6 linked regions of the Macaca fascicularis genome follow. The protein of the gene in region 1 purifies or fractionates together with the protein of each later gene. This does not show direct contact. Links are inferred from orthologs where the notes say so. Each region holds a gene or a part of one and is shown in the gene's direction. Other genes may lie near its edges.

Evidence for each region.
Region 2: the proteins of ANAPC15 (region 1) and ANAPC7 purify together in Homo sapiens (affinity purification with mass spectrometry; 3 studies listed by BioGRID and IntAct, with this or other methods). This does not show direct contact. The link is inferred for Macaca fascicularis from reciprocal best matches to the Homo sapiens genes ANAPC15 and ANAPC7.
Region 3: the proteins of ANAPC15 (region 1) and CDC27 purify together in Homo sapiens (affinity purification with mass spectrometry; 3 studies listed by BioGRID and IntAct, with this or other methods). This does not show direct contact. The link is inferred for Macaca fascicularis from reciprocal best matches to the Homo sapiens genes ANAPC15 and CDC27.
Region 4: the proteins of ANAPC15 (region 1) and CDC26 purify together in Homo sapiens (affinity purification with mass spectrometry; 3 studies listed by BioGRID and IntAct, with this or other methods). This does not show direct contact. The link is inferred for Macaca fascicularis from reciprocal best matches to the Homo sapiens genes ANAPC15 and CDC26.
Region 5: the proteins of ANAPC15 (region 1) and ANAPC1 purify together in Homo sapiens (affinity purification with mass spectrometry; 3 studies listed by BioGRID and IntAct, with this or other methods). This does not show direct contact. The link is inferred for Macaca fascicularis from reciprocal best matches to the Homo sapiens genes ANAPC15 and ANAPC1.
Region 6: the proteins of ANAPC15 (region 1) and ANAPC2 purify together in Homo sapiens (affinity purification with mass spectrometry; 4 studies listed by BioGRID and IntAct, with this or other methods). This does not show direct contact. The link is inferred for Macaca fascicularis from reciprocal best matches to the Homo sapiens genes ANAPC15 and ANAPC2.

Annotation. Positions count from the first base shown.
Region 1 is NC_088388.1:70,872,744-70,877,729, reverse strand, and holds ANAPC15 (anaphase-promoting complex subunit 15), read left to right. Parts: upstream 1-1,587; 5' UTR 1,588-1,632; exon of another isoform or gene 1,633-1,890; intron 1,891-2,119; exon of another isoform or gene 2,120-2,438; intron 2,439-2,865; 5' UTR 2,866-2,920; intron 2,921-3,075; exon of another isoform or gene 3,076-3,080; 5' UTR 3,081-3,085; coding exon 3,086-3,205; intron 3,206-3,389; exon of another isoform or gene 3,390-3,498; coding exon of another isoform or gene 3,499-3,516; intron 3,517-3,758; coding exon 3,759-3,818; intron 3,819-4,136; coding exon 4,137-4,274; intron 4,275-4,421; coding exon of another isoform or gene 4,422-4,481; exon of another isoform or gene 4,482-4,558; coding exon 4,559-4,663; 3' UTR 4,664-4,774; downstream 4,775-4,986. UniProt on the Homo sapiens protein: Component of the anaphase promoting complex/cyclosome (APC/C), a cell cycle-regulated E3 ubiquitin ligase that controls progression through mitosis and the G1 phase of the cell cycle.
Region 2 is NC_088385.1:117,273,187-117,278,132, reverse strand, and holds the start of ANAPC7 (anaphase-promoting complex subunit 7), read left to right. Parts: upstream 1-1,669; 5' UTR 1,670-1,762; coding exon 1,763-1,863; exon of another isoform or gene 1,864-2,663; intron 2,664-3,611; exon of another isoform or gene 3,612-3,666; intron 3,667-4,946. UniProt on the Homo sapiens protein: Component of the anaphase promoting complex/cyclosome (APC/C), a cell cycle-regulated E3 ubiquitin ligase that controls progression through mitosis and the G1 phase of the cell cycle.
Region 3 is NC_088390.1:68,119,841-68,124,319, reverse strand, and holds part of CDC27 (cell division cycle protein 27 homolog), read left to right. Parts: intron 1-966; coding exon 967-1,066; intron 1,067-2,371; coding exon 2,372-2,579; intron 2,580-2,782; coding exon 2,783-2,955; intron 2,956-4,479. UniProt on the Homo sapiens protein: Component of the anaphase promoting complex/cyclosome (APC/C), a cell cycle-regulated E3 ubiquitin ligase that controls progression through mitosis and the G1 phase of the cell cycle.
Region 4 is NC_088389.1:44,823,938-44,828,953, forward strand, and holds the start of CDC26 (anaphase-promoting complex subunit CDC26), read left to right. Parts: upstream 1-1,727; 5' UTR 1,728-1,921; intron 1,922-3,857; 5' UTR 3,858-3,910; coding exon 3,911-3,969; intron 3,970-4,707; exon of another isoform or gene 4,708-4,735; coding exon 4,736-4,829; intron 4,830-5,016. Other genes in the region: PRPF4 (U4/U6 small nuclear ribonucleoprotein Prp4), read right to left, coding at 585-762, 1,530-1,556. UniProt on the Homo sapiens protein: Component of the anaphase promoting complex/cyclosome (APC/C), a cell cycle-regulated E3 ubiquitin ligase that controls progression through mitosis and the G1 phase of the cell cycle.
Region 5 is NC_088387.1:18,843,706-18,848,184, reverse strand, and holds part of ANAPC1 (anaphase-promoting complex subunit 1), read left to right. Parts: intron 1-396; coding exon 397-631; intron 632-3,403; coding exon 3,404-3,495; intron 3,496-4,479. UniProt on the Homo sapiens protein: Component of the anaphase promoting complex/cyclosome (APC/C), a cell cycle-regulated E3 ubiquitin ligase that controls progression through mitosis and the G1 phase of the cell cycle.
Region 6 is NC_088389.1:2,139,025-2,144,243, forward strand, and holds the end of ANAPC2 (anaphase-promoting complex subunit 2), read left to right. Parts: intron 1-3,335; coding exon 3,336-3,465; intron 3,466-3,700; coding exon 3,701-3,936; intron 3,937-4,010; coding exon 4,011-4,223; 3' UTR 4,224-4,372; downstream 4,373-5,219. UniProt on the Homo sapiens protein: Together with the RING-H2 protein ANAPC11, constitutes the catalytic component of the anaphase promoting complex/cyclosome (APC/C), a cell cycle-regulated E3 ubiquitin ligase that controls progression through mitosis and the G1 phase of the cell cycle.

The DNA of each region.
Region 1 (4,986 bases):
TTTCTCCTCAGTATTTACTGCAACCTTTTTTTTTTTTTTTTTTTTGAGACGGAGTCTCGCTGTGTCTCCCAGGCTGGAGTGCAGTGGCGTGATCTTGGCTCACTGCAAGCTCCGCCTCCCGGGTTCACGCCATTCTCCCGCCTCAGCCTCCCAAGTAGCTGAGACTACAGGCGCCCGCCACCACGCCCGGCTAGTTTTTTGTATTTTTAGTAGAGACGGGGTTTCACCATGTTAGCCAGGATAGTCTCGATCTCCTGACCTCGTGATCCACCCGCCTCGGCCTCCCAAAGTGCTGGGATTACAGGCTTGAGCCACCGCACCCGGCCATTTACTGCAATCTTAAAACTACATATTTTATTTATTTATCTATCTATCTTCTTCATTGTTTACCTCTCTCATAATGAAGGCTGTATGAAAAGAGGGACTTTTTGGTCTGTTTTGTTTACTACTGTATACCCACTACTAAGAATAGTGACGGACATATACTAAGGCACTCAATAGGTATTTGTTGAATGAATGAAAAAGGTAGTCATTTCCAAGAGGCAAAGTGTACTCTTTAATGAAAAACTATAACAAACGGTGCTATTTGGCAATATAATCACATTCAATATGCACAGTACATGACCTCTTGAACAATTCTTATCCAATCTTCACATCAGCCCAGGATAGAAGGAAGGCTGGGCAGAGATTATGATGCTGGTTGACAAAGAAGCTGAGTTCAGAGAGCAAAAGGACTCGCCAAAACTCACACATCTGTCCAGGACAGTACTGGAAATGTGGACGACTGCTGTCCCTGGAAGAGCCTGGTAAGTGATGGAGCTTAATAGGAATTGGGTTTGAAGGACCTCTGTTTCCAGAAAGCATGAGTATCTCTAAAGGCGAAGCTGAGTCAGAGGTTACTGGAACTGAGGCATCAGCAAAGGAATGGGAGAGGTTACGAGGTTGACCTCTAAGGGGACTTGGCCCAGGTCTGAGGAGGGCAGCAGATTCCCCAAGCAACAGAATGCTGTGCCTGAGGCTGACTAGTCATTCAAGTCTGTACATAATCTCCAATGTCAGAATTCAACAGACAACCTTAAGAGAGATCACTGAGTCTACTGCATGTCTGCAGGGTTTGGCTTCCCTGGACTGTGAGGTCTTCCAGGGAAGCCACCATTTTCATAGATGTATCCCCAGTTTCTAGCAAGGCCTGGAATATAGTAATATAGGAACTCAAATATTTTTGTTCAGAGCAAAAATAAAAAAGAATGAATGTGCTCAAACGGGAAACTGAAGCTGAGAGAGCACAGACAGGAGGGACATAACATTAACCAGCAATTCTGGAGTAGTAACAGATTAGTTTTCTTAGTTTTCTGGAGTAGTAATTAGATTAGCAGGACAAACGGCCCTCGCACTAAGAGGTTGCTGTCAACTATTCTTCAGAAGGGGTTAACAAGCAAATGGTGCCTGGGAACAAAGCGGCAGGGGTTAAATGTAGCCGTAGTAGTGGGGCCAGGATGGAGAGGCCGATTGGCTGAGCCTCGAGGCGGGTCACACTTCCTTCCCTAACACTGTGACTAAGGTATGCAACGTCACATCCGGTTTAGTGGGCGGGAGCAGGGAACAAAAGGAGACGAAGGACGCATGCGTTTGGTGAGTCCCGGATTCTGGTGGGTTCTTCCGCTCAGGCTGAGTTAAGCGCTTCCGGGTCGCCGCCGGCTGCAGCCTCCCGGCGCGGTAAGTACAGAGACAAGGCTGCCGTCGTCTCCTTGCCCCTTCATTCCTTCTCCCACAGAAACCCATTTCCTTTGACCCGACTGCCCAGGAGCTCCATATTGAGAGTCCTTAACCCTTAAAGAGCTCCAGTTCATTGGCCGCTTCCTCGAGACTAAGCCCCACCCCTCACACAAGGTCCGTCATTCATTGGTGTCACTTCCTGTCACCCAGCATTTCTTTCAGTTAATTGGCCCTACCCAGGCCCCGCTTTTTTCGCGTTTAGCAACCCTATAAGGCCAAATTTCTGTCTTGAGTCCCGCCCTACTTTCTTTCTGTTGGTCAACTGCATGGTCATTAGCGTAATGAGTAAAGAATGGGCGGTGGCTTTGCGACGGTGGGTTGGGCTTTCCGAGCTGAGATCTCTGGCCTGTCAGTACTTCTTGGACATGAGGGTGTTTTCTCTCGTGCCTAATTACGCAGGTTGGGAATCTGAGATACAGGGAAGGGCAGCGGCTGGCCCTGGGTCGGTCAGATAAATTAGGACAGAAGCAGGACCAGCGTCAATTCTTTTCTCCTGCTCATCCCTTTCACGGAGGAGTTCTAAGCCCCGACTCACTGTATGACCTAAAGCCAGTCTCTGCCTGTCGCTGGGCCTCAGTTTGCCTGTCCTCAGTTTAATAAAGATTATCTAGCACTCCTGGTCGGCTCCCTCAGCCGCTCAAAGCTGATTGTACCCTTATAATGTTAGTTCATCCATTCAATCTTACATCTACTTATTTATCCACTTATTCATGCCTCCTAGAATGTCTTACTAAGCCCTGCTTGCATATGCTACAATCCCCCCACCCCAACATTTGGCTGTGATTCATGAGCGGTCGTTAGTGTCCTAAATTTCTGACACTGGGTGGGTGTGGCATGGGCCATCATAAAGGTGCAAAAAGCAGGTTTTAGTGTATGGAGGAGGTAGGGATAATTTCAGTAGAACCCTGCTACCTCTAATTTTGTATAATTTCATAATGCCAGTCTGCATTCTGGATTCCTATTCCTACACTTGACTCCCATTCCCTTCCCTCCTTGAACAACCTGCAAACAGCTTTATCTATCCATTATTTACTTAATTATCAGAATAACTTTGACGGTGGTATAATTGTTATTATCCCCATTTTACAGATGAAGACATTGAGGCCCAGAGAGGTTAAGTGACTCAGCCAAGGTCAAACAGCTAGTAAGTGTTGGAGCCAGGACTCAAAGCCAGGTCTATCTGATTCCTAGTGGGAGGGGCTGCTTTCCTGCTGTCTTCCACCCTATCCCTAAATCAAATTACAACCAAATTAAAAACGAAAACTAAGCAAAACACATTCACTTGACCCTTTCCCTCAGTCTAGGAGCCATGTCCACTTTGTTCCCCTCACTCTTCCCTCGTGTGACTGAGACACTGTGGTTTAACCTGGATCGACCCTGTGTGGAAGAGACAGAGCTGCAGCAGCAGGAACAGCAGCATCAGGCCTGGGTGAGTGAGCAGCTAGCACAGCACAGACAGAGACCCCAGCACAGACAGAGACCCCCTTCAGTGGGCCATGACCCAGCCTTATTCTGGAAATCTGCCCAGGAAGAGCTTTTTGCCCTCAGCTGGGAATAATCAGGCTGGGAGCCAGGGAGCCAAGGTTCTCATCTTTTCATACCCTAATTTACAGGGGTACCATGTGACTTCTGGGCCAGATTAGAGCCCAGGCTGCTGACACTCAGCCCAAGCTCTTTTCCCTAAAGCACAGGAAATAATTTTGACTATTGAGGATCTAGCAGATGACACTTTCTAGGCTGGTAAGTCTCTCACTTCATCCTCACCATAATTATACGAAAAAACCAAGGCTCAGAGAGTTTAAGTATTTAGATCAAGTTCATAAATGGCAGATGACAAGAAAGGGATTGAATCTCCCTGAGAACTGGGAGGAGGCTTCTCCCCCACACGTGTGGCTCGTCTTCTGGGCAGAATGGGCCAGTCCCATGCCCCTGACCTGCCCTACTTGGGCTCTGGCCTTTTTCGTCTGTGCCTTTGCCCACAGCTCCAAAGCATCGCAGAGAAAGACAACAACCTGGTTCCTATTGGCAAGCCAGCCTCAGAGGTGAGTGGCTCTAGCAGGTGGGGCCTGTGTGGGGGCCACAGTGGACCGAGGCTCTGCTCTAATTCTGAATGTCCTGCCTCTCACCCAGAGCAGTTGTGGTTCTCAGATCTGGGTGAAGGGCAAAAACGGGAGATAGAAGGGGTGGGCATTGGGCCTAGCATTAAGGTCCTGCAGAACATGCACCAGCCTGCTAGACTCAAGGAGGGAGGGTTGGGGTGGGGGGTCATTCATTGGCCTTAGAGAGAGGTTCAAGTGGGTCAGTTCTTGAACTGATCCACGCAGGCCTGTAGGGCTTACAGGCTCTGTCCTGCCCACCAGCACTATGATGACGAGGAAGAAGAGGATGATGAAGACGATGAGGACAGTGAAGAGGACTCAGAGGATGATGAGGACATGCAGGACATGGACGAGATGAATGACTACAATGAGTCGCCTGATGACGGAGAGGTCAATGAGGTAGGCAGGGGGTATGGGGGAGGGCCTCTCTTCCTGGGCCCCTGCTTCTGACCCAGTTGATGGCCAAAGGGTACAGAAACCCTGGATCCAGCCAGGGACAGGATCTGGGGCTGAGGCTGGCTGAGGCCCCTCCCCACCCACACCCAGCCTCCTCTCCAGGTGGACATGGAAGGCAACGAACAGGATCAGGACCAGTGGATGATCTAGGTAGACAAGGCAGGGTGGCCTCAGAGAGATTCCAGGCCAAACTACCCTGCATCCCAACCCCCAACCCCTGCCCACAGAACCAGCTGATGGCCCCAGTGCCTGAAAGTACCCTTGGGCACCTCCTCAGCTGCTGCCAGGATCTGGTCTCCTTGGCCCCTCCCAGGCCATCGATCTGCACTTGAAATCCCCAGGGCCTGAGCCCCACTCCACCTTCCTGGCCAGTACCTCACCCCTTGATTGGCAGGTCTGGTCTCTTTCTAAGTTTCTTTAATAAAGACAAAGGAGTGATTTTCCCCCCATGTCTATTCCCTCTTTGTTGGTGGGGCCCAGAGGAGTCCAGCATCTTCTTTTGGGCTTTGGGGAGAGGGCACTCAAGGGACATCAGCCACACCTAATTGGCTAAGTGGGCCAGGGTTAGAGAAGGCCAGGGCATGCCTGGCCCTGGGTCGAGGGTTCTGTGCCATTTTCTCTGGCCCAGCTTGCATCCAGCTATTCCTACAGGGCC
Region 2 (4,946 bases), on another chromosome or scaffold:
TGGTAGTTAAAATTCGACCCCTGACCTAGCAACTAATGTTATCTATAGATTATAGAAAGACATTGTGAAACTTCCCGGTCTGTTCTGTTTCACTCTGACCACCAGTGCATGCAGCCCCTGTCACGTACCCGCTGCTTGCTCAATCGATCATGAGCCTCTCACATGGACCCCCTTAGAGTTGTGAGTCCTTAAAAGGGACAGGAATTGCTCACTTAGGGAGCTCAGCTCTTGACACAGGAGCCTTGCCAATGCTCCTGGCCGAATAAACTCCTTCCTTCTTTAATTTGGTGTCTGAGGAGTTTTGTCTGCGGCTCATCCTCCTACATGCCCACCTGTACCCAGGTGAAATAAACAGCCTTGTTGCTCACACAAAGCCTGTTTGGTGGTTTCTTCACACGGACGTGCGTGACAGTGGTGGCAGGTGCCTGTAATCCCAGCTTCTCAGGAAGCTGAGGCAGGGAGAATCACTTGAACCCGGGAGGCAGAGGTTGCAGTGAGCTGAGATTTTGAACTCCAACCTGGGCGACAAAAGCAAAACTCCATCTCAAAAAAAAAAGAAAAGTTCACAGTGATCATGCCTACCAAAATCACATCAAAGGTCTCATACATCCAGAAAACTAGAGTAGGGGATGAGATGGGAAAAGGATCACAGGAGCTTCAACTGTGACAAAATGTAAGAGCTGAAAAAGTTGACTGGTGAAGATATACCGTGATTTTTTCAGAGCATTTTTTTTTTTGCATCTGTTACTCTAAAAATCAAATGAAAACAAAATATAGACCAAAACAACTGTCTCCTTCAAGAAAGGAGCGAAAGGCTATATCTGAGAGGGTGATTGTGGAGGATATTGGGATTCTGATTCAAATACCTAAACTGCCTCATTGGCTCAGTTACCTCCCTGGTCTCTGTATACATTCGAGTTTGCGATCCATCACATTTAACCACTGGCGATCTGATTCCAAGTCAACCATTTAACAACCTGAGCACAAAATTTAAGCAGGCAGTTTCTTCCCTTGTGAGAAGGGAAAGACAACTTCAACTTTATGGATTGTTGTGAACGTCCAATAACTTGTGTAAAACTTTTGTAAAAAGTTAACTGTGCCAGACACATGCTGGTTTATATGGGTATCAGCTAATTCCTGGATCTAGTCTTTATTTCCACGGATTTAGGGAATCATTTTACATGGTAAAATACGCCCCTCGAATTAACAAGTTCATCCAGGGACAAAGCCTGACTTTAGCAGGAACACAAAACACCTGAGCAGGGAGGCGGCGGCCCCTGCCTGGTGCGCATGCGCGACTGTAAAAGCCGTTAGGTCTGTCCCTGGCGCCCGATTAGAATATTTAATTCCAGTTGGAGCGCTTTTCCTCACCTTACTATATTTTATTTCTGGTAAGTGCTCACACATTTTAATTTCTGAGAGGCCCAAATTCCTCTCAGACTCATTCAAATTGACCAAGTAGTCTTACTAAGGTGACTTTTGTCTCATTGTAAGTCCTCAGTAAATTTTGCAGTTTAGGATGATGACGTAATTTTTGCGTAAAAGTAACAACTCATTTCACCGGAAAGGGACCACGACAGGAGCAGGGACTCGAGTTTCTTTTTATTCGGGCACTTCAGTAGTTACCTTTTGCTTGGGGGCGGTGCCGCGTGTGGACCCGATGGACCCCGGCGACGCGGCCATTTTGGAGTCTTCCCTAAGGATCCCTTACCGGTTTTTCGAGACAGTGCTGCCGCCGCTGCCCGCGGCCTTGCAGGGCAGGATGAATGTGATAGACCACGTGCGGGACATGGCGGCCGCGGGGCTGCACTCCAACGTGCGGCTCCTCAGCAGCTTGTTACTTACAATGAGCAATAACAACCCGTGAGTTGAGGCGGGGAGCGGCCTGGGGCTGAGGAGAAAGCGGCAGTGGTCTGGGACCGGGGGCTCAGGGCACGCGGGAACAGGCGGGAAGGAGCGGCCTCCCGCACCAGCGGAGGCTCCGGCGTCTGCGAGGGCGTAGTGGAGCGGAGCAGACTTCGGAGCGCAAGTTGGGTTCACTGGGTGCCGGCGTCAAGTCCCTGCGGAGATGTGGCGAGCGGCGGCTTGGAGAAATAGAAGGCAGAGGCTCTGAGGACGACCCAGGCGAGGGTTTTCTGAGGCACCTGTCGCGGGGTAGCGCGACTGTCACATCGCTGGGCCGAATCCTCCCCTCTCGGCTCCTTCCAGAGAACGTTTTTTTCTCTCGCTGCAGCTCCGGGACCCAGCCTCCTGGTTTTTATGCTCTAGCCCCGCATCTGAGATTGGTCACCCCATTAAGTGTATCAGGAGGGTCCACTTTCTCGCCTTGGGAAACCCCTGAAAACGGGGCCGGGCGCGATGGCTCACGCCTCTAATACCAGCACTTTGGGAGGCCGAGGCGGGAGGATCGCTTGAGCCCAGGAGTTAAGACTAACCTGGGCAACATAGGGAGACCCTGCCTCTATGAAAAATAAAAATTAAACAATTAGCCGGGCGTGATTGTGCGTGCCTGAGTTCCCAGCTACTCGGGAGGCTGAAGCAGGAGGATTGCTTGAGCCCAGAAGGTCGAGGCTGCAGTGAGCCGTGATCGCATCACTGTCCTTTACCGTGTGCGACAGAACGACAGCCTGTCTCAAAAAAGAAACGGGAGATTCCATTAATGGGTGGGCGTGGCGCCTTTCTTGTTTCATTGAAGCACTGGGCTGATTCCATCCTTGAGTGTCCATCCTTAAGTACATGTCCCTCTCCTGCTTAAAATCCTTCACTGGCTGGTTGCAGTGGCTCAAGCCTGTAATCCCAGCACTTTGGGAGGCCGAGGCAGGCGGATCACGAGGTCAGGAGATCGAGATCATCCTGGCTAACACGGTGAAACCCTGTCTCTACTAAAAAAATACAAAAAAATTAGCCGGGTGTGGTGGCGGGCACCTGTAGTCCCAGCTACTGGGGAGGCTGAGGCAGAAGAATGGCGGGAACCCGGGAGGCAGAGCTTGCAGTGAGCCGAGATCGCGCCGCTGCACTCCAGTCTGGGCGACAGAGCGAGACTCCGTCTTAAAAAAAAAAAAAAATCATTTATTGCACTAATGAAAATTATTTCCCATGGCCTCCGAAAGGAACTATCTGCCCTTCACTCTCTGCTACTTCATCTCATTACTGTGTTCACTGCTCTCCAGCCTCTCTGGCTATTCTTTCTGTTATTTATTTATTTTTATTTATTTTTGTTTTTTTTTGAGACAGAGCCTTGCTCTGTCGCCCAGGCTGGATGGAGTTCAGTGGCGCGATCTCGGCTCACTGCAGCCTCCGCCTCCTGGGTTCAAGCGATTCTCCTGCCTCAGCTTCCCAAGTAGCTGGGATTACAGGCGAGCGCCACATGCCCAGGTAATTTTTGTAATTTTAGTAGAAACGGAGTTTCAATATATTGACCAGTCTGGTCTTGAACTCCTGACCTCAGGTGATCCCACCACCTCGGCCTCCCAAAATTTTGGGATTACAGGCGTGAGCCACCGCGCTTGGCCTCTTTGTGTTATTTGAATGTACCAAGCGTGTTCTCTGGGCCCTTGTACTTGCTGTTCCTGCTGCAACGGTCCTTATCTCAGCGCTGCCTCCTCCTTCAGGTTTTAGCCTGAACATCTCTCCTAGAGAACCTTCTCTGACTCCCAGGACTCTCAGGTACTCCCACTTTTCTACCCTTCGCATCGCCTAGCAATTGAAAGCACAGTGGATGTGCGCATTAAGCACTCACATGCTTATTGAGTGTGTTGAGGAAGTGAGTACAACTTCAGGGAGGTGAAATACCCTTGTCTGAGTTCACACATCTAATAAATGGAGGAGTACAATGTCTGGACCTGGTCTTCTCTGACTGGAGAGTCTCCATTCTGAGCCACCAGTCTGCTACCTCCAAATGGCATTATCATGGAAACTTCTACTCTGTAGATGTATTAGTGTTTGGCCTGCTATAGAAGCTGGTCTAGGTCAGAAGGGAAAGGTCCTTAAAGTGCTTACAATGCAGCTGCTGCTGCCCATTGGATTTTCATGAGTGTGCTTTGGTGTTTTGTTTTGCTTTTCAGTCAGAGTCTTGCTCTGTTGCCCAGGCTGGAGTGCAGTGGTGCGATCTTGGCTCACTACAGCCTCCACCTCCCAGGCTCAAGCGATCCTCCCACCTCAGCCTCCTGAGTAACAGGGATTACAGATTCGCACCACCACGCCTGGCTAATTTTTTTTTTTTTTTATAGAGATGGAGTTTTATCATGTTGACCAGGCTTGTCTCGAACTCCTGACCTCAAGTGATCCCCATGACTTAGGCCTCCCAAAGTGCTTGGATTACAGGCGTGAGCCACCGAGCCCGGCCTCATTAGTGTGCTTTGGACCTTACTAGTGAGACCCATCATTTTGCCACCATCCACTTCATGTTGACAGGAGCCCTGGTCTCTGTCAGCCTTCTGTGTTTATTCTGGAACCTTTCACTTGGTTCTTGGTTCTGAGTGATTTGTCAAAGCATAGTTTCCACGTTTGGAGATTTAGGCCCTACTTGCTCTTAGTTCTCAAAGATGTTACAGGAGAGTTTGAAACAGTTTAATTCTCTGGCTAGACTAAGTTTAGCCCATGCTTTTTCATGTTAGGTTAGATTGGCAGTTTCCTAGCTTTAGGACATGTTCAGGTTTCTGCCCTTCATGGTTTATACTTTAAAATTTCTTGTGGAATAGGCAGTAGACACTGTTAAATTCAAACAGTGGAGAAGGGGCATGCAGATCAGTATCTTTCCCTGAGTCTTGAACCTCACCCCACCATTTCCTTTCTCCAGAGGCAGTAACTATTTTTTCCTGTGTCATTACAGAGGTAACTTATGCATGTGTAAGTAGACATGTATGTTATATGAGTATCAGAATGCCTTCTGTGGGTGTAATAATACTTTTGTATCCAGGCATCAGATGGTTATTTCTCACTACATA
Region 3 (4,479 bases), on another chromosome or scaffold:
AACTTTGGAAGCCTTTCATTATCAAACTCCTAGCTTATGAGATGCAGATTAAAAGGATTCATGTGTGTGTGTGAGACATAGACACACATGCATATATAGAGGTATGTATACATATTACATATGTACATATCGTAAAAGATGAAAATATATATCTCTTTTTATTTTCTGAAATTCTTTGACCCAGACTCAGGTAGCTAGTAGGATTTCCCATAAATTATAAAGTTTAGATACTTTAGTCCATAAGTTTACCCACTGTCAATTCTCGATTGTTTCAGATTTTAGGTTTGCTTGCTCCTAGGATTGAAATTCTCATATCTCAGGGTTTGCCTTTAAAGTGAAAATGTACAGAGGCTCCTTTTGCTTTAGACAGAATAAACCTTTGATGTAGTTGTTTGAATTTACAGGGAGATGACTTCTCAAATATCATTTTTTCTAGTGGTATTTGTTGACAGATACCCCACAATTAGACTGTTTGCCCAACTGTCTTTTCTTTTTTCTCTAATTTGTTGTAGTTGCAAATGAAGGGTAAAAATAATTGAGTTATAGATGTGCTTATCATTTATTGATCCAGAATTTTATGAGGATTATTTTTAGTTCAAATTAACAATTTCAGAGAGAGTGAAGATCTGTGCTGTAATCTTTACTATTTTGTAGTAACGAGTCATTTTATTTTTATTTATTTTTTATATGAAGGAAAGTTTATTAAGGAGTACTGACTTATGATCATAAGCTGAAGTCCCACAAGAGGCCGTCTGCAAGCTGAGAAGCAGGAAAGCCAGTCTGAGTTCCTCATTTTTAAATACTGTGTTTTCATAGAGAAACCACGAAAAGAACTGATCAAATTCGTCAACTTTAGAGTACTTACATAATTAATGTGTATTTTTTAAATATACCTGAATTGAAACAACGGTTAATGGTCATAAATCAAGTAAAATATTAATGTCTTCCTTTATAATTTTTTTTTAGTACAACACCTCAGGTATTGAGCCCCACAATTGCATCTCCCCCAAACGCACTGCCTCGAAGAAGTTCACGACTCTTTACTAGTGACAGCTCCACAACCAAGGTAATTTAAAGATTTCTGTATGTCACGTTTACTTAATGCTTCCCCTGCTGAAATTTCTGTTCATTGATGACTCCATTCCTAAAAAGTTAATAAAGAGACTATTTCAAGTTTAAGAATGTTTTAAGTTAGAGGGACATCTATAATTTTTGTGAAGTTAATTAGTCCTTTGGTAAATATTATATAATATTCTTTTTCAATTAAAAAATTTTTTTTCTCAAGTTAAAAATGACAGGAATAATCTTGAAATGGCAAAATTATAGTAGTGGACAACAGATCAGTGGTTATTAAGAGTTAAGCCTCTAGGAGGGATGTTACTATTAAATCAGGGCACAAAAGAATTTTGTTGTGGTGGTACAACTGTGCTGTATCCTGATTGTGGTGGTTGATTACACAGATCCATTCACATGATAAAATTTTATAGAACTATGCACACAAACACACAGTTTTATGTAAAAACTGATGAAATCCATATAAGGTCTTTAGTTGATAGTATTGTACTAATTTCAGTTTCCTGGATATGATGATATACTATGGTTATGTCAGATATTATTATTTGCGGAAGAGTGAGTCTAAAATTATTTGAAAATAAAAGTTAAAAAAAACTGGAGACCTGGCAGATGCAGTGGCTCATGCCTGTATTCTTATCACTGTGGGAGACCAAAGTGGGCCGATCAATTGAGGTTAGGACTTCGAGACCAGCCTGGTCAACATAGCAAGACCCCATCTCTAAAAAAAAAAATGAGCTGGGATGGTGGTACTCTTTGATCCCAGCTGCTTGGGAGGCTGTGGTGGGAGGATCGCTTGAGTCTGGGGAAGTCAAGGCTGTGGTGAGCTCTGATTACATCATTACACTCCAGCCTGGGCAACAGAATAAGACCCTGTCTCAAAAAACAAAACAAAGGCCAGGTGTGGTGGCTTATGCCTATAATCCCAGTTACTTGGGAGGCTGAAGCAGTAAAATCACTTGAACCCGGGAGGCAGAGGTTGGGTTGCAGTGAGCCAAGAATTACATCTACTTATTTTCTTACTTTTAAATAATAAATGAGAGTTTGATATACTTTCACAAGAGGGCTACACTTAATGCTGACACACCTTAATCACTATCAGTTAATGTAATTTATGTTCAGAATTACTGTGTTTAAAATTAAATGACTTTGAAGACCTTTGTTTTTATAAACTCTTCTGAAAAAAATATAGAATTAATCAAGATTGTACATTTATTTTATATCTAATACTGGAGAAAGGGCTGAGGAGAATTCTAAAATACATGAGTATAACAAGTGTGAAATTTCCCCCCTTTTACAGGAGAATAGCAAAAAATTAAAAATGAAGTTTCCACCTAAAATCCCAAACAGAAAAACAAAAAGTAAAACTAACAAAGGAGGAATAACTCAACCTAACATAAATGATAGCCTGGAAATTACAAAATTAGACTCTTCCATCATTTCAGAAGGGAAAATATCCACAATCACACCTCAGATTCAGGCTTTTAATCTACAAAAAGCAGCAGCAGGTCTGTTTTAAATGCTTAATATTATCTTTATATTTTATTATGTACTTATTTTAAGTAAATTTCTTTATGTTCATTACAGTACCTTCATTGTTTTCTACATAGATGTTAGAATTTTTAATAGATTAGTTTGTAATTACCTTTTCTAGAGAACCAAACTGTTTTATTGCATTTTTTCCTTTGTTTACTATATTATTTTCTCCTAGAAGGTTTGATGAGCCTTCTTCGTGAAATGGGGAAAGGTTATTTAGCTTTGTGTTCATACAACTGCAAAGAAGCTATAAATATTTTGAGCCATCTACCTTCTCACCACTACAATACTGGTTGGGTACTGTGCCAGATTGGAAGGGCCTATTTTGAACTTTCAGAGTACATGCAAGTAAGTATAAAAATGGTTATATGTGCCTTTCTAGGGATAATTTCAATTTCATTAAAATAAATTCCCATGCTTGAGAAGGCTAGATCTAAAAGATCAGTATTTATTATATAATGTCTATATATTTATTTTGTCAGTATTTATAATGTATAGATACAGTTCTTTCTTGTGTTACTTGTGTTAAGGAGTAATTTAAATTCTTTGCAACTTCTCGGAATAGGTTTGTCATCTAGACATTCTTACGTAGACGTAGACTGTATCCTATTCAGTTGTATCTGAAAATACATATTTACCATGTAATAGGATTTATATTTTTTCTACAATATACAGAGTTAATTACTGGGATGAATTTTTGACATTAAATATGTTTTATAAACTTGAAGAATGCTATGAAGAAAATTGTGTTTGAGGACACAATGTCCTTATTACAAGGCTTTTACTCTTTGGATTTTAATTAAATTTGTTGCTTAAGTTATCTGTCTATACCAGAAAAGGAGAGAATGATTAACCTAAAGTCAAAGAAAATTCTAATTCCCAATTTAAATTACCCCTCAGTTCTTCCCAAAGCATTTTCTCCACCCCCAACTTAAAAAAAGAAACCTTTTAGAAACCTATATATTAATAAAATATTTCTAATATGGATTAAAGTTCATATGATTCGTTTTTTGCTTAATTTGCTTTCAGTTCATTTATTCAGTATATATTTCTGTGCATAAGATATCCTGGACTCTCTTCTAGACTCTGTATTACAGCTAGTCAGACAATTTCTTGCCTCTGTGGAGCTTACATTCTAGCAACAGACAAATTGTAAGCCAATAAATGTATAAGAACAAGTAGCAATAAGTCATGAAGAAAAATGAAGCATGGTGAGGAAACTGGGGGACAATGAAATATGGTGTTTTTGTTTTGCTTTGTTTTTGTTTTTATGCCCTCAGAGGGAAGGTTACTCTTCCCTTCATGATCCATGCAAAGATCTAGAGGAAAGGTGTTCTTTGCCACAGAGAATACATACAGAGGATACCTATTCATATAACTTAATTTTGAATAGTACAGAAAAGAGAGTTGAAGACAGAAAGTCTTATTCATTACTAGAAAACCCTATGGTCCTTTATTGGTATGTAGCATATACACAGACAGACAAGAGCTGTGTTTGGAAAAGCCCTTTAAAAAATTATTTCTAATTTATTGTTTCACAGCTACTTTAACATAAATGAATTTTATTGTTTCCCCTAGTTACAGTGGTGACCTAAATATTTAACTAAAGAAAACCTGTGTTTCAACTTAATTTCATGAGTTTTTTCCCATTTTTCTTTTTGTCAATGCCATAATCATTTTTCAAAGGAAGCAACAGATTCTGAAAACTTTGAAACCGTATATTTGGCTGATAGGTCTTTTATCTTGTTACCATGCCTACATGAAAATCTTGGCCAGAGGTGATGGCTCAGGCCTATAATACCAGCACTTTGGGTGGCCAAGGAAGGGGGATCACTTGAGCTCAGGAATTGGAGACCAGCCTGGCCAATATAG
Region 4 (5,016 bases), on another chromosome or scaffold:
CTCTAGCTGCAAACCAATGCCAGAACTATGTTAGATCTCCAGAAGACAAATGGAATCAATCTGAATCCAAATGTACACTGAATTTTTGATAAGACTGCTCACTCATAGAAGCAAAACTATGTAACACATTGTAAGAAAAAGGCTCTCTGCATGATTTTAAGGGGGTAGGCAAAATACAGCCTTATAGATGCAAGTTTAAGAATTGAAATTCTGCCAGGCGCAGTGGCTCACGCTTGTAATCCCAGCACTTTGGGAGGACGAGGGGGAGGGATCACAAGGTCAGGAGTTTGACCAACATGATGAAACCCCGTCTCTACTAAAAATACAAAAATTAGTTGGGCTTGTTGGTGTGCGCCTGTTATCCCGGCTACTCCGGAGGCTGAAGGAGAACTGCCTGAACCCGGGAGGCGGGGGTTGCAGTGAGCAGACATCGCGCCACTGCACTCCAGCCTGGTGACAGAGCGAGACTCCGTCTAAAACAAAAGAACTTAAATTTTTTGACATTATAAAACTGATGATATTCAAGTTTAGGAAAGTATTCATTACACAAAGAGGTAAAGATGGGTTCACAATTTGCATCTTACCAGAGGTTATATTAATATTTCCAGCTTCGATCCCTGCTTTAAGTCCTTCTTTCCCCAAAATCCCAGACTCTCCTTTGGCCAGACGCTCCCTCTCCTTCTCTTCCAAACTTCCATAATAGATGTGTGGTTTCTTCACAACCGGAGCAACTAAGTCATCGGGTGTTTTAGTTTTGGTTGCCTGCCAAATCAAAAATCTGGATTAAATTGAGGTTTAATCTTGGCAATTTACCGGATTTCCCGAGGATGAAGCTCGCCCTGAGTTTCACAGTCCTATTTCCTTCATAATTGAAAGGACAAATTGGACACTACTTAAGATGTTCTTCATCGATTTGAGGTGAAGGGGAGGGTGTTTCAGTCCCTCACTTTAGCTGACGGGATTGATAAAACTAGTGAGGTTCTCTCGAGTATTTTCATATGAAAGGTTTGCTCTGGAATCTGTTTACTTTATTCTGCTGGAAACGTGGAATCTCGTGTTTTACGATGTATCCAAGATTACTGCTCATCACTGGGGAAATACTAAGGATAGATGAAATAACCAACGCGGTGCTAAAGGATAACAAGTTACAACATTACGAGTGTATACATTTCAAACGTTTCTAGACGTGAGGTAGAAGTTAGTAGGTCTCATTAAAATTTTGAGATCTGCCAAACGCATAAACCTTGGCCAAGACACTTCCCTATTTCAGAGCACCGTTACTGGATGAGTCGGAAGAGATGTTTGCCCTTTGGGGCTGTAGTGGGAGAGGTGCAAATAAGCTACAGTCCACGAAAGCGCTTAGGGGTCAGGAAAACGGTGGTCCGCTGTGTAGAACACCACTGAGTCCCGCAGCCTTCCTCCTCAGCCCTCCACCGCCTTCTCTCGCTCCCTAACGGCCCCTTCCCGCAGAGATCCTCTTCCCCCTTCGCGCTCCCTGCCAGAGTGAGTTGCGATCCCGGGCTCTGTACCGTGGAGGAGGTTCGCGAGGAAGCCATGCTGGGCTCTGGAGCCGCGAGGCCCCAGCGAAATCCAAGCTCTCCGTTTCAGACCTTCCACCGCGCGCCCAGCAGAGCGGAAGTGCGTCACTGACCGGAAGTGTGTCGCAAACAGGACATGGGCCAAGAGCCGTCGCTGCGCCCGGAGCGGCGCGGAGCATGATGGAAGTCGTAGTAGGAAATGGCGTCGTGGCATTGAGGGGCATCCCTCCTAGAACCTCCAAGAAAAGCTCGCGGAAGACGAGGTTCTGCTGAGAGAGAGGCTCCAAGCCGTCTGGGAAGTGTAGTCCAGTTGGCGTAGCAGTAGTTTCGTGGAGGGGAGCCGAGGTTCCGGGAAGGGGCTGAGCCGACTTGAAAAGAGGTAGGTAAGTCGACTCGCGCGGCTCGGGGCTGAACTCTGGAGCGAGTCGAGGGCTTCCGGGGCCCGCTGTGCCTCCCCGGGCCTACGGGGGCGTTTACGTCTTCTGGGAGCCGAGGACCGTGTTACCATAGAAACCCTGGGATCCGAGGTACAGGCCTGGAGCTAGGGGACGAGGACTGTTCTCTTCCATGGTCCGGAAGTCTTCCCAGGGGCCACCTATGAGCTTGATGGCTCGGCGGTGGATTTGGGCTGCAGCGAGAGATTAAGCTAGAAGAGCCCGCTGGTGCCAAAGTCAAATAAAGACCCGGCGGAGGAGCTTCGGCCTGATTTTGTTCATTTGTCTTCAGCCTGGTCTTTGTATCAGATTGAGAGTAAGATGATGGTTAGGAGGGTGTCAGGGAACTGTACGTCTCTCTGCCCTGCTGGATGCTGGGGTATTAGAGACGAACAGCATAAGGTTTTTATCCCCACGTGGACGGTGGGAGATCCTCAAAATATTGACGTTTCCGTAGCTGGCCAGATCCTCATCCAACCCCCTAGAAAAATTACAGCCATAATAGGTGTTATTTATTGAACATTTATTAAATGCCAAGTAATGTTCCAAGAGCTTACTCTGCATTACGTTATTCACTTCCTACAACAGCAAAGTAGGATACAGATGAGGAAACTAAGGCCTAGTTAGAAATGAAACTAATTGTTCAAGATCAGTGGCGCAGTGGGATTAGAACCTGTGCCCTTTAACCTCTACAGCCAGCACTTTTAACTGCTACTCTATACTGCTCCGTAGTGGCCAGTTTTTCGCAGTTTGCAGAAAAGGTAAAATGTATAGTAGACCTTTTTTTTCCTTTTAGGTATCCCTATCCCTCTCTTTCCCTCTTTGGAACTTTGGCTTTCTCTACCATTTGTCTGCATTGGAATCTGGTAGAAGATAATGCCTGATTTAGTACAAAGCAATTTGAAATGTAATGTGCCAGTGTTTTGTGTTGATAATATCGCCTGTAATATCCTAAGCTTCATGGGAGAAGGAAATATTTCTTCCTTTGTATACTTCACAGTCCCTAGTTTCATCCTAGATACATGTAATAATTTGTATCTCTATATACTTTCAAGGAGTTTTCACTTCCATCATTCTCACTTAATCCTTATCATGTTGACCTGTATAATTTTTATAGGAGGCTAAAATTATTAACCAAACTGAACAGCTTGCTTCGATGACTTCTTTATGTGTGAAATAGGAATCATTTTGTCAACTTCACAGGTTTTTGTGTTAAGAATGTAAAGAATGGGAATGGAAAAAGAGCACAGTGCTCAAGAATGATCTCACCTTTTATTCAACAAACATTTACTGACTGTTTTTATAGATACACTCTAGGGGATGCTGTGGAGAATATACAAATGATGCCATCAACAGATATTAAACTCAATTGGGGGAGTTGTGTTTTCTCAAAAACAAAACAAAACAAAACAAAATGGTTTTTGTTAACACAGTATTACCTCGGGATTTCAGGCTGTGGAATGCTCTTTTGAACCTCTTTTCTTCTTCTTTTTTTTTTTTTTCTGAGTTGGGGTCTTATGGTGAGATCATGGCTCACTGTGGCCACCTCAAACTCCTGGGCTCAAGTGATCCTTCCATCTCAGCCTCCTGAGTAGCTAGGACTACAGGTACACACTACCAGCCTAGCTAATTTTTTTACTTTTTTGTAGAGACAGGGTCTTGCTATGTTGCCAAAGCTGGTCTTGAGCCTCCTTGTGCACTCTTCTCTCTGCCTGCCCTTCAGAAGTCAACTAAGATATCATTTTCTCCAGGAAGGCTTGCCTGACATCCTTGTCCACCCCACACTCAGCCCAGACTGGATTAGGTGCCTGTGTGATGCCAGTGCCAGTATCCTCATTAGGGTTCTCGTTATATGATATCATAGTTTTCTTTATTTTCCCCACAGATTATGACTGTACCTTTTAATTCTGTAGCTGGAGCACAAGAAGTGTTTGTTTAATGAATGACGTACACACATTTAGGATCTGTTTGGACGCTGAGGATAATCCTGTGAATTGGTGAGTTGGAGTCTTCATGAGATTTAGCAAACTGATTTTAGCATTCAGGAGTGATCACAAATCTCTGACAGTTCTCACGTAGAGTAGATTAAATTCACTGGTTTGTCCACTTTCTCCTCTAACTATACTGAGATGTGATAGTTTATTCTTTTAGCTAGAGTATTTCTTTGAATGTGACTAGAACATGAGATTAAAGTGATAGTTTGCTATTTTAAATTCTTACTGAAAGAGTTTTTGATTTTACAGAGCTGTAGATCTCCATAATGTAATAAAAATGTAATAATCATATACCTAAAGACTTTAGAAGTTGGCTGGGTATAGTAGCTCTTGCCTATAATGCCAGTACTTTGGGAAAATGAGGAGGGAGGAACACTTGAGCCCAAGAGTTTGAGACCAGCCTGGGCATCAGAGAGAGATCCCATTTCTACAAAAAACACAAAAATTAGCCAGATATGGTGGTGTACACCTGTAGTCCCAGCTACTCTAGAGGCTGAGGCAGTAAGATTGCTTGAGCCCAGGAAGTTGAGGCTGTAGTGAGCTAAGGTCATGCTACTGTGCTCCAGCCTGGGCAAAGAGCAAGATCCCATCTCTTAAAAAGACTTTAGAAGTCTGTGTGAATTCAAATAAAGTTTTAATACTTCCATTCACTTTAGTACACAGGCTTGCAAACTGATTTTATGTTTTGTATCTGAGACTTTATTACCTTCAGTTTTTCCTCCTCTCTTTCATTTTTATCAGCTAATAGTTCACTGGGTTTGGCCCTTAGTGTTGACTTCAGTATGCTGAGACGAAAACCAACACGCCTAGAGCTAAAGCTTGATGACATTGAAGAGTTTGAGAGCATTCGAAAGGACCTGGAGGTATGAATACAACTTTGTGTTTTTTTGAGATGGAGTCTCGCTGTGTCACACAGGCTGGAGTATAGTGGCATGATCCTTGGCTCACTGCAACCTCTGCCTCAGCCTCCCAAGTAGCTGGGACTATAGGTACATGCCAGCATGCCCGGGTCATTTTTGTGTTTTTAGTAGAGACGGGATTTTGCCATGT
Region 5 (4,479 bases), on another chromosome or scaffold:
AACTTGAGTGTCCCCTTTCCTGCTACTGTTCCTGGCTAATTTGTTTTCATCCTTCAGGTCATAATATAAATTTCTTTGTATAATCTTTAGAGATTTCATCCCTAATAATCCTCTAGTCCCTCCCAATCTAAATTAAGCTCTTTTAAAATACTCTTTCATAATACTTTGTACTTTCTTATTGTACTACTTTTTAATAATATATTTGTTTATATTTTTTAATTTAACACTTTTTTTTCCTATTAAGACATTAGGTCCATGAGAGCAAGGACCATGTTTGTTTAGTTTACCACTATATTCTCGGTGCCTCTCATTGTGCCTGTCAACATAAAAGTACGTCTTGAAAGTGGCAGGCAGTAGTTTATTTTAAACTACATATTTGTTTTGTTTCTATCTTAGGGCCATGAAATGACAAGCATTGGACTGCTGCTTGGTGTTTCTGCTGCAAAACTAGGCACCATGGATATGTCTATTACTCGGCTTCTTAGCATTCACATTCCTGCTCTCTTACCCCCAACGTCCACAGAGCTGGATGTTCCTCACAATGTCCAAGTGGCCGCGGTGGTTGGCATTGGCCTTGTGTATCAAGGGACAGCTCACAGACATACTGCAGAGGTCCTGTTGGCTGAGATAGGTATGGGATTAATAGTGCTGAATCTTCATAGGCATGCACTTTCCACTCCACATAAATCCAAGTAAAAATGATAATAAAATTATAAAAATTAAGGAAAGACAATAGTAGCTTTTGTGAGCAAAGAATGATCTAGTACTAATTAAAAAAAAAATCTCTAAGTAATGTTATCCAAGGCTGATGTAACTTCAGGTTATTAACCTCCATATTTATTTGCTAGCTTATTACTGAATTCCAGTGGTCACATTTAATGAGGTACCTGTGGTTTTAATCATATATGAGTATGCTGTTTATCCTGCTATGTCTATACCAGCAATGTCTAGCAGTGGCCTGCACTTAAAACTCAAAGAGTAGATTGTTTTGGTCCCTGAGAGACACTAAACTATACACATCACAGTGTTTACTGTGTTGGATACAGCACTTCCAATAGAAGTCGAGTAATTGACTCCTGCTTTCCTCCTTTACATGCTGGTGGGTATGTTGGTGATGAACCTGGAAATGGTAAGGTCCACACACTCACTTTAGTGAAGTGTCTCTGTTTCTTACTCGGTCTAAACTTTTTGGAAATCTGTATTATGTGTTGTCTTTTTCTGCCTAATGGAAGTGTTATTGGTATTATTAATATGCTCAACAATTTAGTTACATATTTGTATGTCCTATTCAAGATTTTTTCTATATGCATTTCTGAATATATTGTTAAAGATGTATTATTTAGTATAATGGTATCAGATAGCTATTGCCACAGTGATGCTTCATACATACAGGCATAACATTGGCCCAGGCAGCTCTGCTTTAGGCTGTAGCTGTGTAGCTGGCTGCTCTGCTGCTGTTCTGCCTCACCTGCCTTATTCTGGGACCCACGCTGGAGGGTGTGTTTCTCTCGTGGTGTTGACAGAAACCTAAGAGAGAACCAGTGAAGACCGGGACCCATAATTTAGTCTATTGTAATGATAGATGAAATTATTCCCAAAGTTGAAATGTTTCTGCTATCAAAATACATAGTAGCATAAGTTAGAGATCTGAAAAACACTTATTCAGAAAATATTCAACACTGGTTGTTAAAGCATGTTCGTCTGGAAAGTAGTTTACCATTCTTTGGCTACATCATGATTATGATGATGATGTCTAATGATGTCACTGCACAGTCTCACAGCTGTGGCATACTTCTTTCATACTGTAGATAGAAGATTTCATCTTTAATTCATATGTATGTGCCTTTTTATAGGATTACTCTCAGAATGTACATTAAAAATTCTGTTTGTATAGATCATTGTTATAAGTGGTTTTTAAAACAAATTTTGTATAATACTCATTGAGTTGATGGTCTGTAAAATGCTTTTTTTGGTTAACTTTTAGAACTTTTTAGATTGTTTTAATAATCCTTTGTTGTTATGTATAAACATTACACTGATTACCTTTGTGTGATTTTTTTTTTCTTTAATTTTATTTATTTATTTATTTATTTATTTATTTATTTATTTATTTTGAGACAGAGTCGTGCTCTGTCGCCCAGGCTGGAGTGCAGTGGCGTGATCTCAGCTCACTGCAGCCTCTGCCTCCAGGGTTCAAGCAATTCTCATGCCTCAGCCTACCAAGTAGCTGGGATTACATGTGTCTGCCGGCATGCCTGGCTACTTTCGTAGTTTTAGTAGAGATGAGATTTCTCCATGTCGGCCAGACTTGTCTTAAACTCCTGACCTCAAGTAATCCTCCTGTCTTGGCCTCCCTAAGTGCTGGGATTATAGGCAAGGGCCACCACGCCCAGCCTTTTTTCTTTTTTTTTTTTAATTGCATTTTTTTCCTATCGGGATAAAATTTCAGGAGTGTGAAAATTTTTTTCAGAGGGAAGGGTTTTAATACATAGTACATTTTGTCATTTTCAACAAGGTAGCATTAGGGTTATAGGGTGCTTTTTAAAAGTATGAATTTTATATCCAGTCAGACTTCTGAGATCAATGCACAGAAATTCTGCCATAGTAGGGCTCATTATTATATAGACTCGAAATAAATGTTGAAACATAATATTCAACAATAATATAAGCAAGTGACATCCTTATTCATTATCATCATTTGAACATGTTTCGCCACATGTGATGAGTGAATTTGAAAGTAATGAAAGCAAAATGTAAGATATTTTGTTGTAGCTGTTGTTGCGATGCTGTCTCACTCTGTCGCCCAGACTGGAGTGCAGTGACCTGATTTCGGCTCACTGCAACCTCTGCCTCCCGGGTTCAAGTGATTCTTCTGCCTCAGCCCCCCGAGTAGCTGGGATTATAGGCACCTGCCACCCTGGCTAATTTTTGTATTTTTAGTAGAGACATGGTTTCACCATGTTGGCCAGGCTGATCTCGAACTCCTGACCTCAAGTGATCCACCTGCCTCGGCTTGCCGAAGTGCCGGGATTACAGGCATGAGCCAGCACACCCAGCCGAGATGTTTTTTAAAAAAATAAAACTTTTTTTTGGAATACTCTTCCCTTTAAAAATGTTTTCTATTACTTGGTAATTTTTTTTGGTAAGACTCAAAGTTTCATAGTATTTGAATATCATTGCTTATAAAGACTTAAATTGGCAAAACAAAAACTATTTTGGGCCCTTTTTTTTTTTTTTAGGTAGGTAAACCTACATTTGTGGACACCATAGTGTCATAACTTTCTGAATGGAGTTATATTCCATTCGTATCGCCAGTGCAACTTGCTAGAAAGTTAATTCTAAGATTTTTATGAGTTGCGATTTTGAGAGGCTAGTTTGAACTGTGTCGCTTTTCTTTTTACAGGACGGCCTCCTGGTCCTGAAATGGAATACTGCACTGACAGAGAGTCATACTCCTTAGCTGCTGGCTTGGCCCTGGGCATGGTCTGCTTGGGGGTAAGCATAGTCTGTGCCTTCCCATGCTTCAGTTAGGACATCTACATGTTGAAACAAATAACCTTGACACCTAAACCTGAATACTGTCCCTTACTATGACTTAATGCTGCCCAGCTCTCTTGTCTTTTTGGATATTTTTCAAAGTACCAGATTTGCAAATGGAGAGAAACTGTGGTCAAGAGTGAGACTTTAAGATTTATTTTCCTCCAGCTTACAGTGTTCATGAACAAACTAAAGGGAATGAAGTTTTTTTTTTTTTTCCCAAGTGTTCAAGACATACAATGAATAAGTGACAGCCCACTATGATTGAAAACAGAAAACAGTGAAAACGTATATGATCGGGAGCCTTAAGAGTCTATAGTAGCTGCCTGAAACAAACCCTAACCCCCTTTTGCCATGGTGGTGTTCACTGTGTATCCCAGAATGTTTCCCAGTAACATCTTCCTTGTGACAGAATGCAATATCAGATTGACCCGTCTTTAACTGCATCCAAGAGATGTGTACAGAATTACCAGAAACATTTCATTAAATGATTGTTTCACTTGAAATGTGGTTCCCCTTAAAAAACCACCAATACATTGTTATGGTCAAACTAAATGATATAAAGAAAGTTATAAGGCCGAGGCAGTCAGGTCACCTGAGATCGGCAGTTTGAGACCAACCTGACCAACATGGGGAAACCCTGTCTCTACTAAAAATACAAAATGAGCCGGGTGTGGTGACACATGCCTGTAATCCCAGCTACTCAGGAGGCTGAGGCAGGACAATCACTTGAACACAGGAGGCAGAGGTTGCGGTGAGCCGAGATCGCACCATTGCACTCCAGCCTGGACAACAAGAGCGAGACTCCATCTCAAAAGAAAAAAAAAGTTATAGTGGAAGGAATTTTTTCTCATGTGTGTTCTGAAAATCCACCCTGTGGTTGACCATCTGTTGGGGCCTTGAATTCACACTGGCACATGAGCTAAAGAGGCTGGTAGTATA
Region 6 (5,219 bases), on another chromosome or scaffold:
CGGGAGGGGGATGGTCCAGCCTCAGCCAGGGCCGGAGGAGCAGTCTTAGGACAGAGCCGCCAGGAGGCTGGCAGGTGGGGCTGAGTTCAAGGGAGGGTCCGCAGCTTCTCCAGGTCTGCTGTCAAGGAGGCTGGACCTAGATGTGTGTTCTTTTTTTCTTTGGCAAGTAAGAGGGCCTTGCTGTGTTGACAGGCCAAGGGAACTTACTCCTAGGGGAGAGGAGGGCGATACGTCCACTTTAGAAACCAAGGGGGAAGCTTCCTTCCAGAGACAGACAAGAGGAGAGCCAGGCAGAGGCACCAGGGCGGGAGGCTACAGGGCTCTGGTAGGGCCGGGCTGCTGACCACGGTGGCGAGTGTCTGCTGCCTCCCTCCAGGCCTCAGCTTGGCTCTGGAAGAGTCCAGGTGTCCCTTGCAGCTTGTGGAGGGTCTGTGTGGCTCCTGCCTGCTCCCGGTGGAAAGGAGGGCCCTGGCAATCCCCGCACCTCCAGCTGTGGCCTGTGCTACAGCCTGGCATCTCTGGAGCCTGCAGGCACCGTGCCCTGCTGCGTTCTGGTACACATCATCTGTGTGGCCGGGCTCCACGCTCGGTCCCTTTTCCCCGCCCCTTCTGGCTGCCTCAGGCTCTCCAGCGCCACTTCCAGGCGAGGTCCCACTGGCCTCCCTCCAGGGTCCCGCCTCGGGTCCCAGGCATGGCTCAGCCACTGCCCATTGCTCAGGCCTGAAGTGCTGGGACAGCCACATTCCAGTGTGTCTTAACCTCAGTGGGACACAGGAGTAGCTCAGGAAGGCCTCGGGGCTGTGCTGAGGGGTCCCACCAGCAGAGCTCCTGGCCAAGGGACCTTGCTGGACACCTGGCTGGCCATGCAGCCCTCAGCATCTACCCCTGAGCCGGCTGCTTCTGAGCCCTTGCAGCTGTCCTGCTGCAGGCTGACCAGTGGCGTTTGTGGAGGTCACGGCCTTGGAGCCAGAGCTAGGACCAAGGCAAGCCACTGACTCCCCCTCCATTTTCTGTCCGTAAAGAGAGGTTTGTTTCTGTTAAGAGCTGCCGGATCCTGGAAGGACTCAGGAACCCTTGGCCCACAGAGCAGGTGTGTCAGTGCCCCGGTGCCACCGGCACAGAGTACCACAGACCAGGGGGCTTAGAAGAAACGATCATCTTACAGAAGTCAGAAGTCTAAAGTCAGGCCAGCAGGGCCCTCCGACGGCTCTAGGGGAAGCTGCTTCCTCCCCTCTTCCAGCTTCTGGGAGGTCCAGGAGCTCCTGGGCCTGTGGGTGGCTTGCTCTGGTCTCTGCCGTGTCGCCCATGATGTTCCCCCGTGTCTCTGTTCCTGTCTCCCTCTTAGAAGGACACTTACTCTATTCCAGGGTGATGTCATTTTAATTATATCTTTAATGACCGTATTTCCACATAAGATCCCATCAGAGGTACTGGGAGTTAGGGGTTCATGTGTCTTTTTTTGAGGGGCACAATTCAGTGCATAACAGTCTGCCCCATGGCGGGTCCCTCCAGCATGCAAGTGACAGTTAACCCCAGTAGCCCCAAAAGTCTTCACCATTTCAGCATCAACTCCAAGTCCAAAAATCCCATCTAAATATCGTCCACACGAAGTTCCACAGCTCAGCATGTAAATATCATCTAAACGAGGCACGGGTGAGGCTTGGAGTGTGCTTCATTCCTCTCCAGCTGGGACACTGTGAAATCAGGCAACAAATGATCTGTTTCAGAAGTTCCACCGTAAGACAAGCATAGACATTCCCACCCCAAAAGGGAAAACTGGGAGGAAAAAGGTTGGCAGGTTCCAAGTGAGTTCAAACCCAGCAGCTGAAATTCCAGTTGACTTCCAGGCCTGCGAATCCTCTTTGGCTCCCTGCTCCGTCCTCAGCCTGCAGGGGCAGCCCCACCTCGTCAGCTTCGGCCTTGGGCTCTGCAGCTCTGCTCTTGGAGCCTGCCTTCCTTTCGGTCCAGCCTGGCAGCACTTCAGATGGTACAAAATTCTCACACACCTTGTTGGCTTATCATGCAGCTCACCAGTGTCCAAGCGCTCAGACAGGTGGGTCCGCAGCCCTTTCCCAGAGGCCCCACCTGGCCCTGTCTGCTGCTGAGATGGTTGGTTGGATGCACAGGTCACATCTCATCGCTAGCAAACCCTGGTCCAACCACACCCTTGGCCACGTCTCAGAGCTGCCTGGATACAGCATTTTTCAGATCCCCAAGGGCTGGTGCCTTTTTGCTTAATGGTTCCTGCCTCACTGATGGTTTCCCTCTTGTATTCTGCTGTAAGTAGCAAGGAGAAGGCAGGTGGCACTTGCCACACTGCTTGGAAATCTCCTCAGCTGAATGTCCAGGCTCATCAGCTGTAGGCCCCACCATGTACCCAACAGTAGAGCCCCAGCCAGCCAAGCTCTCTGCTGCCTCCTCTGGTTCCCAGTAGCACACTCATTTCCACCTGAGACCTCACTGGAAGCACCTGTTGGGTCGGCATTGCTGCTGGTATCCAGTCTGTGATGCTGTGTGTATTCTCCAAGACGACGGCAGCTCTCCTCTCCCGGCCATTTCCAGGCTTGTCTTCACGCCTTTCTACCAACAGTCGCGCAGGCCCTCACCATAGTTCTTCTAGCCTCTCCCCATCACCCACTTCCAAAGCTGCTGCCACCGTTCTCGGTGTTAGGTTTCCACAGCGCCTTTCCTGGTACCAAAAGATCTGTTCATTTCTTGTGGTTGCTGTAACAGTGTCACAAACTGGGTGGGTTAAAAAAACAGAAATAGATTGTCTTAAGTTCTGGAGGCTGGAAGTCCAAGGTGAAGATATTGGCAGGGCCCCGTTCCCTCTGAAACCTCTTAGAGTCCTCTGTTGCCCCCCAGTTTCTGGTGTTTGCCACAGCCCGTGGTGTTTCTTGGCTTGTGGCCGCATTGCTCCAGGCAGCCTCTGTCTTCGTGGGCTGCCTCCCTGCCTGCCTGTGTCTTCCCATCTTTCCTTTGCTTAGAAGGACCCCGGTCATTTGGATTAAGGTGCACCCCACTCCAGTGTGACCTCAGTTATATCTGCATCAACCCTGTTGTAAATACAGCCACATTTCCAAGCACTGGGGGTTAGGAGGCAGACGTAGCCTTTTTGGGACACACCTTGTGACGCTGGCCCCATTGCCATTTCATGGTAGCTGAGCAGGTAGGGACCCCACCCAGTCCTGTGCTCTCGCTGCTCACCTGCCTGCCAGAGTAGGGTGGGGCAGGTGGCTTTGGGAGCCCCTTTCTCACCCGGTACCAGGTGGCAGAGCCCATGGGCCTGAGCCCCCTGCAGCCGAGCTGCCCAAGCTGACCCTAGCCCTCCTTAGGCCATGCGGACCCTCAGTTGGAAGCACACCCTGGGCCTGGTGACCATGGACGTGGAGCTGGCTGACCGCACGCTGTCTGTGGCGGTCACCCCGGTACAGGCGGTGATCTTGCTGTATTTTCAGGACCAAGGTGAGCCCACCAGCCCCTAGCTAGTCTGCCCCGGCCACACGGCCCAGCTGTGGGTGAGGGACTGTTCCCCAGTGACGGTGTGGTTTGGGGCAGCTGCGCCAGCAGGCAGCACCCTTCCCTTTCCCACGGGCAAGGCAGGGTGGTCTGGGAGCCCCCCGACCTCTGGGCTGACAGGAGGCAGGGGAGGTGCAGCCTGTGCCCAGTCTGCCCAGTGTCCCGGTCACTCTGCACGCAGCCAGCTGGACCCTGGAGGAACTGAGCAAGGCAGTGAAGATGCCCGTGGCACTGCTACGGCGGCGGATGTCTGTGTGGCTGCAGCAGGGCGTGCTGCGCGAGGAGCCCCCCGGCACCTTCTCTGTCATTGAGGAGGAGCGGCCTCAGGACCGGGACAACATGGTGCTCCTGGACAGTGACGACGAGAGCGACTCCGGCATGGCCTCCCAGGCTGACCAGAAGGAGGAGGAGCTGCTGGTGCGTGTGCGGGCCCGTGGGGGGTGGCGGGGAGGGCCTGCGGGTGCCTGATGGGGGCTGGCCTGTGTCCGCAGCTCTTCTGGACATACATCCAGGCCATGCTGACCAACCTGGAGAGCCTCTCGCTGGATCGTATCTACAATATGCTCCGCATGTTTGTGGTGACCGGGCCTGCGCTGGCCGAGATTGACCTGCAGGAGCTGCAGGGCTACCTACAGAAGAAGGTGCGGGACCAGCAGCTCGTCTACTCGGCCGGCGTCTACCGCCTGCCCAAGAACTGCAGCTGATGCACCCGCCCGCCTGCCCGCCAGGTGCTGCCCTGCAGGTGCTCTCGTCCTCCCATGCCAGCCCCTGCCCGCCTGTGTCCCAGAATGCACTGCTCAGGGGCACGCCCACTCCCACCCCCACAGTGTGCAGATTAAAGCAAGTCAGGTCATCTTTTTCTATCCTGGTGGCTTTGTGGGGCCCCCCAGATGCCCCTCTATCCTGGGCCTCTCTCAGCCTGGCAGGGCCTGCTCCTCAGCAGTAGGCGAGGGGCCACCCAGGCCTACACATCTGCACTGGGAATCAGCCTCCTGAGAGCTTCCCGGGCCGCCCCCGCCTGGGTGCTCAGGAAGCCGCGCGTGAAACCCCACATCACACCTGGGCCACGGCTCAGGCAGCCACGTCCTAGGGCTTGGTGCTACCTGCCAGACCTCCAGCTCCATCCCTGTGCCTCTGGCCTTTGGAAGGAGCCCTGGGGTCACCCTCTGCTCAGCCTGTGCCCACCCCACGTGCCGGGCCAGGAGGTCTCCAGCGAGGCTGGGACGTTGCATGGGTTCGGTTGGAATTGCTTAGACTGGCGAATGACGTCTTGGCCAACACACCTCATCTCCGGCAGCAAAGCTCTGCTCAAAGCTATGCCCTGGTGGCCAGAGGGACTGGGCACTTGTCCCCTGCTCCACACTTGGGCAGGGTGGCCGCAGAGCTCGGCCTCACAGGTGTGCCTCGGAAAGGCAGGTCGCCCCCATGTCCCCCACATGTGTGGTCATGCGTGTGCAGGCTGCCCAAGGCCTGTCCCAGAGGCTGGCACTGGGAGAGGGAGACGCCACAAAGCTGAACAAGGGCCCTAGGGTCCAGCTCTGGGCTCTTCTGCTGCTAAAACCTGGGCCTGTCTCCCAGAGGTGCCATTTCCAGGCCAGACATATTCCACCCCGATGGTGCCGTCCTCCCAGGGGATAAAGGCCCTTTGAACCGGCACCTCGAGTCCCGCTCCTGCTGCAGCACCTTCCCAGGCTGTGAGC